Drosophila melanogaster: one gene and its partner. The protein of the gene in region 2 interacts with the protein of the main gene of each other region in a pairwise test. Each region holds a gene or a part of one and is shown on either strand. Other genes may lie near its edges. The genes, in order: CrebA and Klf15.

Evidence for each region.
Region 1: the proteins of Klf15 (region 2) and CrebA interact in a two-hybrid assay, tested with the Drosophila melanogaster proteins (one large-scale study listed by BioGRID).

What each region holds. Positions count from the first base shown.
Region 1 is NT_037436.4:15,533,232-15,538,419, reverse strand, and holds the start of CrebA (Cyclic-AMP response element binding protein A), read right to left. Parts: upstream 3,026-5,188; 5' UTR 2,019-3,025; coding exon 1,965-2,018; intron 1-1,964. UniProt on the Drosophila melanogaster protein: Transcriptional activator. Binds to fat body-specific enhancers of alcohol dehydrogenase (ADH) and yolk protein genes. BBF-2 may play a role in fat body gene expression. It binds the consensus sequence 5'-T[AC]NACGTAN[TG]C-3'.
Region 2 is NC_004354.4:4,769,832-4,773,681, forward strand, and holds Klf15 (Kruppel-like factor 15), read right to left. Parts: upstream 1,758-3,850; 5' UTR 1,687-1,757; coding exon 751-1,686; 3' UTR 726-750; downstream 1-725. Other genes in the region: CG15472 (uncharacterized protein), read right to left, coding at 1-243.

The DNA of each region.
Region 1 (5,188 bases), on a different chromosome or scaffold from region 2:
GCAAAGTGCAGCAGCAGCAGCAGCAGGCAGGCAGGCAGGCGAAAAAAGTCATTACTTTGCATTTAGACCAGCTGATAGCAGCCTCTTATCAACTCCACATGTGTCCTCCTCCCAAACTGTAATAGATTCTTTTCTTTTGTGCTCGCCCAGCAGAGCTTCCTCTACACAGCGCGCAAAAGTTGAGAGCGAAAATTTATGAAACATATTATACAAATTTATCGTTATAAAGAAAGCGACAGAAATTTTAAATTACGTTGAAATGTATTACAATTTTTTTGTTGTATTGAATCCGTTGCTTTTTAAAGCTAATTTTTATCAAAGTGAAAAACATTTTATTTATTTATACTTGAACCCGGACCATTTCTAAGAAAAAATCACTAAGTACGAAAAAAAACGACGTTATTAATTGAAACTGATACAATTATTGTAAGTATCTACTAAATTTGATTTTGATCTGTTTTTTTTTTTTACCGTGTACAACAGCAAGAACAAGTGAAACGGACGGACTTGGGCTGAATGGACGGGCGGACGACATGTATTCATTACTGTTTCCGCAGCGATAAGCAATAGACGACGGCATCTCCATCTATGAGTACTCCGCAAATGAAGCTCAGCCCGGCACATACTCATTTCATTATATTGAAACAATTCACGATTGCAGTACGACGAGTAGTTCAAGTTGCGGGGGTGATAGTGAATGGAACTACGACGACAAAACAACCGAAACAGAAATCGTTCGCTAATGATAAATTTCTTTTAATTTCTTGGAAAACTTCAATTATCATTATCGCCACCCAAGACAAAACAACTTTGTAGGACAGCGAAACTTCTAAGTTATGAACAGAAATGTTTCCTGAATGCCAGATATAGTCGCAGTCGCTTATCAAAAAAAACCATGTAAATTGATATATTCGAACACAAAAAGTCACTAAAAATTGTCTTTCTCCCAAAACGAGCACGTAACTGCCAAGATAAAAAGCCTTGAAAGCTGCCTTTTCCTTTCGGCACTAGAGGGTTTGTTTGATTCGGTCGTATCGGTCGTATCTATTTGGCAAAGTTTTTTTTTTTTTGTTTTTCTATTGAGTAATGCCATTGGGTTCGGCAATCCAAGAACGTCCTCCACGAAAATGAAACCAAAACTGTGATTCTGGGTGTGTTGTATATTACGGTGTCTGATGTCTGGAAGCCGGGCAGTTCGATTAGATTCTGGTTTGTTTTTTTCACTATACGGTTATTTTTTTTTTTTTTACATTCGAAATTTTGGTGGTGCGGTGAGCGGACATTTTTATGAGGTGGCTTGGGACAGGTTTGATCGTAGGCCAGTTTGTCGGTGATCGGTATTCTCTCAGGTGATCGCATACATATACATATAAATGCGAACCACTTAATATGCAGAGAAAGAAAAGAAAACTGGCTAAATTCCGTGGGACCCTGGAGATCGAAATTCGTTTCTTCATTTTCCTTTTCTCAAATCGATCATCATACTTAGAATTCAGCTCATGAATAAGTTCACGTTTTTTCTCCCCAACTGATAAGCTTAATGTGGGTCATTAAAGTGTTTTTCTTTAGATTTTTTAAAATGCAATTTCGTTTCGTGGAAGCACGACTCTTGCATGTTTAAAATGTACACCGAAATGACTTAATAATCGTATTGAAGATGTCTCTGTAGTCAAAGATCGAAGTTCAAGGAGTTCACCAAGTTTAGTTGGGGCATTGCCACATAAAATTTAGTGAGCTATAATATACATATAAGAGCTACCAATGTATATCTCGGACATTTTCTTATCGTTGCGTTCGAGTTGTCGGCTTTAACTTTCACATACTCGTATAGCCCATATCAAGCATACCTGCTGTAATAAAAGCTCTCAAGTATCAATGGTTCTGTTCTGACTGATATAATATGGGGGTACAAGTTGCTTTTCGCATTTTTAATTGTGCTCGGGAGTGGTAATTTGAACACTTACCGGATCTAAGTCGGAGTCCCATATATCTTTGAGGTCGCCATCGTAGAATTCCATGGTTGGCGCTAGTCAGATGCGCTCTAAGAACTCTTTTAGTTGTTTTTTTTTTATTGCGGTTCGGGGATGGTGTGGTATGGTTTAATTCGGTTCCACTCGGTTGCAGTCACACTAATTTTTCTACTTTAACCCACTTAAGAACTGTCTTCTTATAATTTTTGTAGTTTATGGTATTATACTATTATTTTTATACGATTTTGCTGACTGAAAAGTGGCTCTTTCTCCGCTCTTTCTCTTTCTTTATACTTTATCTTCTTTATTCCTCGTGCGCTCTTCTACCTCTCTTTCTCTTTTATTTTTTACTTTACTTTTTTTCCGTAAAGAACAGTTCTGGGTGATGACTGTTGGTTGCTTCTTTATAACACTTATTAAGGGGAAACCTGTTGCTTCCAGAGAATGTTTTCACTTGACATTGTTATAGTCTGCGTGTGTGTGTGTGTGTGTGACTTTTTCGTTTGTATGTGTATACCGGGCATTCATTCGTATTGGTTGTGGTATTTGGGGTGTATCTGTGTACGGATCTAACTTGGTTTACAACTGTCGGCTGGATTTAACTTGTTGCATGCGCTTTTCTCGTCGGATTATATTTGGCGTTAACATTAATTGAATTATTAACTTTTTTCCCGATTCGGAAACGAAACACTCGATTTTCATAGAAAATAGTTATTATATGTATGTTTAGATTCAACGTTGATAACCATATAATTTTAGTTTATTTGATTTTTCTTTTCGCTGTACTGTGTTTTGGACTCGATTACGATTTCAATTGATTTAATTGAATTTTTTGATGTGTTTTGTGTGTGAATGGGCAGTAAACCGCTTTAGAAATGGCTTTGCTCGGCCCGTGTATAATAGCATTTAATATGTGTAGTTAATATCGTTAACTTTAGCAATAATATTTGTATGTTTGGATGTATGGGATGGTAGCACACAATTAGAATAAACTGTCCGTAGTGCGACTGCAGCCAAAAACGGTACTAAACTAAATGTCGGTGAAATTCTTGTGAATGCGAACGAACGAATCGAAACGTCAGTCCTCTGCTGACGTCGCTGCCGCCGCTCAGTCGCTCTCTTTTCCGCTACAACGCTTTGTCTCTCTTCCGCACGTATAGCGCTCTCTTTCCGTCTATCTCTTTGTCTCTCTCTCTCTGCGCTTATAATGCCGGCAATTTCAGAATTTCATACAGAAAACCTCGAACAATTGATACTTTTGTAATAAAAAAAATAACAAATTTAAATTAAGGATATGATGAATTGATGTTTCCTCATTAAAATGAGAAGAGAAAAGGTACAATAAATGGCCTAAATATACTCTTTCAATTTGAAAAGATCGCTACAAAATAACATCGTATTTCTAATATCCTGTGTTAATAGTGTTATTGATTCGTTAATCTACGGGAAACGTTTGGGGTTGTTGCTTTTCGTTCCCAAAGGTCAACTAATCACATACCTTATGTTACATTTGCTATAGTTTAATTGAATTTATTGACTTCTTAACGTGTTTGGGGTAGTTGTAACTGAAGACTGAAGCCGTGTACTATACATTTCAAATATTGTATTCCCATGGTTCTTGGCCACCAATCTACCCTTGATACTGTGTAACATGCGGGTTAGCCGGCATCGAATCCGAATCCAAATGCGATAGTATCCGACTCTCTCCCGAAAAGCGTGCTCTTAGTGAAACTTTCACGCTCTTTGGGGTTTCGAGAAGTGAATGTAAGTTGATTGTCGTAAGCCGGCTTTGACGTCGTTTTGAGACCGGAGATCGGAGACCAGGGGCCCGAGATTTGAGATTTGAGACCCGGAGCCGCATAGGAAAGGAAAACAAGTTTCTTCCGACGCTATGGGCTGCGTCGACGTCAGCGTTGCGGCAACATTTGTTAACCTGTTTTTTATTATAGATTTTGTGTTGTTGCTGCGAGTATTTGATTTGGCCCGAATGCACGATGGAATAGGACGGGGGGTGTACCCCGCTCTGCAACCAGACCCGACTTTGGCTGCTGCCGCTTGGTAACACTCGCTCCGTTGATCTTGTCAACTTGACCAAGTTATTTGAACTATGCACATGTGCAGACCATAGAGAGTCGGGCCATTCCAACACAGGCGGGCCAAGCCGAGTCATTTGAAGGCTGTTTGCCGGAGCTGGGAGCCAAGAGTTTTGTTCGGAGATCTTTGAGAGCCAGAGCCTATGGATATGGATATGGCTGTGGGGATCTTTGGGGCCTGGCCTGGACTTATGCTGCTGCTGCTGTCGCTGCTGTTGCTGCTGCTGCTGCTGCAATGCTGCGACGACGGCGACGACGCAAAGTGAATGTACTTTCAAACCAAAGATCCGGTTTAAAGCTGCCCGGGCAACAGATACAGCGCAGACAAACGACGATGACAACGGCGATGTTTTCACAAAAACGCTTGTGTAATACATATGGAGAGGCATAGGTATATGACTATAGCTCCGTGCTCCGTGCACGTCATGTATACCCCCGCTGAAAATATACACACAGCTCTCGGCCACTAATTTCTTGTTTGTTGACGTGATTTTATTGTATTCATTTAAAAATTTCAAATTTGAAAATCCCCAATATGGCTTACACCACATAGTAAATTGGCTGGGCCAACAAGACGCCTCTGAGAGGGATCAGATCATTGGTGCGCCCTTCTTTTTCGTCGCTGAGTACATTGATTTCTCCTTTCGTTTGGTCGTAGTGGATTTCCCTGAATTATGACACAGATATTTGTGCGCTGTATTCGATATAGAGAAGAGCGTTTTGTTCGCACTCACTTCCAAAAACATTTCGTTACACTTTCTAATTGGGAAAAAGGTTAAGATGATCTTGTCAAAGTTGATCGATTCCATGGCTTCACATCAATTGACTCTCGGTGTCAATTTAAGAGGTTTATGGTAAATTTGCAAGGGTAGCCTTTCCCTTCTTGTTTCAAAATTTTGTGTATATACGCGCACATACTTGAATCACAATCCCATCAACAACATCATCAATGTGCATTGTGAGTGTATAAACAGCCCCATGAATCGACTAAGTGTGCGAGTGTTTTGTATTTTACACGGAGAGAAAGAGGACATTATTGATAATTTTACTTAACATCAAGATCGAAAGATCTGAAAGCTTAATGTACAGTTTGTAGTTTTGATAACAAATATATATGAATTAATA
Region 2 (3,850 bases):
AACATCAAAGACCAGGGTACAGCGTTCTCCGTTGAAGGCCACTTGCAAATGCTTTTTCACATTTGATCGGAAATGGCGTTGGGCCAAATGTTGGAGCATATCATCCTTGAAAACGGTGGAAATGCATTTTTCTATGGGACATTGTGCTGGCAGCTGACATAGATGGTTCAGTGTAAGTTTCGTTTGTTTTTCGGGCTCGGTACTGGAGAGGCCAATTAGTCTGAGTGGCTTATTTCGGTCCATATTTCTCGAATTGTGTTGAATGTTTTAAGTATATAAATATAATGTACGCTAATAAATTTTTTGAAGCTATGCAAACGGCCTACTGTTGTTGAAACATCACTGCTTAGTTGGATATAATTGCTCTGCCGCGTAAAATTAGCCTTTTTCATTATATTAATAAATTCGATTTAACTTTTGTAATGAATTAACTTCATGCGTGTAACCCTTTTTCTTTTTATTAAATCATATGCTCCTTTACTCTGCTAAATGAGTTTATCAATGGTTTATGATTTCCGTATTTAAATCAGCAAACACATTTCATTTATGTAAAACAGAGCAGCAAGTAATTATTACCATCAATATTCCCATTCGAAATAAAACTCTTGATAATTTTCCTAACAAAAGAAGGAATACTTCAGCTCTATTTTATGGATATGTTTCCCATGCGAACTAATCTTAAGTGATAAAAAAAAAAAAAATAGTACAAAACGTTAAAACTAACTCATCCATCGTGTCCTTGGAATGTGGTCATAACTGATTCTTTCGCTTTCGACCTGGTCGCACGGCATACAGATCGTCGGAGATCAGGGATCTGCCAGCTCTGGAGGCGGCCAGAAGACGTCTTTCGTGCACCTTACGATGCTTGGTGAGGTGATCCGACCTGGCGAAGCACTTGGAACAGTAGTCACATTTGTACGGCTTCACGCCGGAATGGGAGCGCTTGTGGCGGGCCAGTTCATCGGATCGGGAGAACCGCCAGACGCAATCTGGCCAACTGCAGACGTAGGGCTTCTCGCCTAGATGCCGCCTCAAATGGGCCTTCAGATGCGCGGGCTTGGCGTAGATCTTTTCGCAATTGCCAAAGGTGCACAGGTAACCCCGTTCGCCGGCGGCATTTTCACTCATCTGGAGGGCAGAAGGTGGGGCAACAGCTTCAGCTGGACTGGCGGAATCACTGCTGCCGGGCGAGGAAGACGATCGATCGGGAACGAAAATCTCTGAATGTGGTGGCCCCGACAGCCGCAGATTGCTGTTGCTCTCCTCCAGAAAGTCCGCACAGTTATCCGTGCACAGGGGAGTTCGTTCCGGCAGAAAGTCCACCAGGTCCGGAATCTCTACGTAGTTATCCAGCAGTCGCTGCTCCCAATCACTTAAGTCCGGCGGACATACGGTCAGGTCATTGAAGTCGATGAACAATGAAGGATCCTCCACGTGGGGCAGACCCACCTGGATATTCCCATTAGTATTTGTATTATTATTACTGTCCAATGTGATGATGCCATAATAATCCGACTCCTCGAATTCCAGCTGATTATAGTTGCCACCGGAAAAGCTAGTATCCACATAGGTGCTATCGAATTCCCCAACACTGACTATATTTAGCAGCGCATCGCCGCCGGCCAGTGGCTCCTCTTCCAAGTCGCTGTAAAGCTGCTGGAATCCACCCGTCGCAAAGAAGTCCATGATCGCAAATGAGCGGACTCCAGTCGAGTGTCCAAATATTTATAATATCCACGGACAATCCGGATGAGTGACAGGCGTCGGAAAAGTTGATGAGAGCCATTGAATCTGGTTGGGAATCGCAGGGCATATACCCTAAGTACTTAAAATCATATTGATATGTCATGAAAAGAATGTTTACTTAAATTGTTTCTTTTACAAGTACAATAGTATAGCATACCCTGCGATCTGCCTAGAACAATGGGTATCAAGAGATGCACTCATTGCGATCGTGGCTCGATTGCTTCCAGTGATTGGTGGCCAGGATCCCTTGGGGAATAATTAGCCGGCGAGCAACGTATCTAACGCGCTGCCGGCTTCATTAGTCCGAGACTGAGATAAAGATACATCCATACGTACGTACATATCCATTCGCACCAGATGTTGCGCGCATTGATCGGCGACACATGTGCCCGGGTTTTTGGTGGCCGGGTCCGGGAATCCGCAATGCTATCGAAATCGCTGACGGATGCCGAGTGCCAAGCAGTGTCAGGCCACAGATCGGCTAGCTATATTGCTATATATGTATAGCCGCGCGGCACCTGATCTCCCGCTTTCAGTGCGCCATCTCGCTCTTTTGTTTTTGTTTTGCTCGCCGGACAATCAATACAAATTTGTTATTAATTAATGATTATTACTAGCGAACTAGATATGCCCGGGGGATGGATATGGATATTCCCGGTCGATCATCAGTGTTTCGGTTCCAAGCAAAACAAGTGCGTTTCCTATGTGTGTCAAGTGGAGCCGCAGATATGGTTTTAAATTCACGGAAAGTTATCTGTTTGAAAATATTTTTCTGTTCGAAAATCATTTGGCTTGGCAACGGTCCATTTGCAGCATATGGTCAGTTGGAAAAGGTTGATAGCTAGTCATTTTTTTTTTTTTTTGACAACTCATTTCGTTCATATTTAATACAGACAGTGGTGTGCAATTTACAATTCACTTAAAGTGCATTGTAATGCGCAAGAATGCAGCATTAAAATGTGACCCTGCACGAGCTGTAATATAGTATTCCACCCATTTGCCTTCAACTAGACCCACCCGCCCCCTCGAACGTCTCATTTTCCGAGGCTGTCTGTGCCAGTTTCCAGTTTCCCTTAGCTTTTGCTCCTCGTCTATGCCATTTCCGCATCCTTTTTGGCTGGCAGCCCTTCGGAAATTAACATAAATTTAACGTGCGGCTGGCGTTTAAATTTACTTTCGCCTAATGAAATAATCAGCAGCTGTAAATCCTCATGGGCTGGTATGCCCCCCAACCCACCAATCACGACCAGTTTCACCAGTTTTTGGCGGCCTACGCGTTTTACGCTAATTGATATTGCAAAAATCAAAGGCTGCGCGCCGGCATTAAAGGGATTTAAAGGATATCAACTGGTCTGCGGGTCTGGGACTCGGGACTTGGGATTCTGTATTCCGGATACCGGATTCTGTATTCTCAATTGTGGAGTCTGGCTGTGAGTTCGACTCTGGCACTTTGTAATTACAGCAGGGTATTGCGACTCTGATTTCTGTATATGTGCATAGAATTTCCCTTTGTGTGGCCTCAGTGGAGTGGCAAGGATAACATAAATTAGAATGCTGCCTGCAGGCAGTTCTGGTATTTAGCCGTAGTGCCTGGTCGTCCACTTACTTACAGATTCGTAGGCCAATACAAACATGCACCGGTGGAAACAGGTAGCAGGACATAAAAAGATATATAACTTCGATTGTAAATAAGGTTCGCCTTTGAAACCATTTTGCAGCATATTAATTAAATTCCGAAATATTTGAAATCAAGTGGTTTTTAGATGAGGTTAGTCCGCCCAGCAATTGCAAAAAGGAATTTTCCTGCAGTGTTTTGGGAATGTGTAACCACATCTATCTATCCATCTATCTGCAAATAAATTTCTCCGTTCAAATGTGTGCGTGTGTGTCTGTGTGTGTGCGCACCGCAAGTGTCATAACGGAAATTATGCATACAATTTTACTGTAAATTGCACTCGGCAAAATGTTGTCACCTCAGTTTAATCATAGCACCCAGAACTCGAAACTCCCACTCATTTAAGCCGGACATTTTGAAGCCGTTTGCAAGTATTTACGAAGCAAATCCGAGGACTTAAAGCCGACAACCGGACGATATTATTGCCAA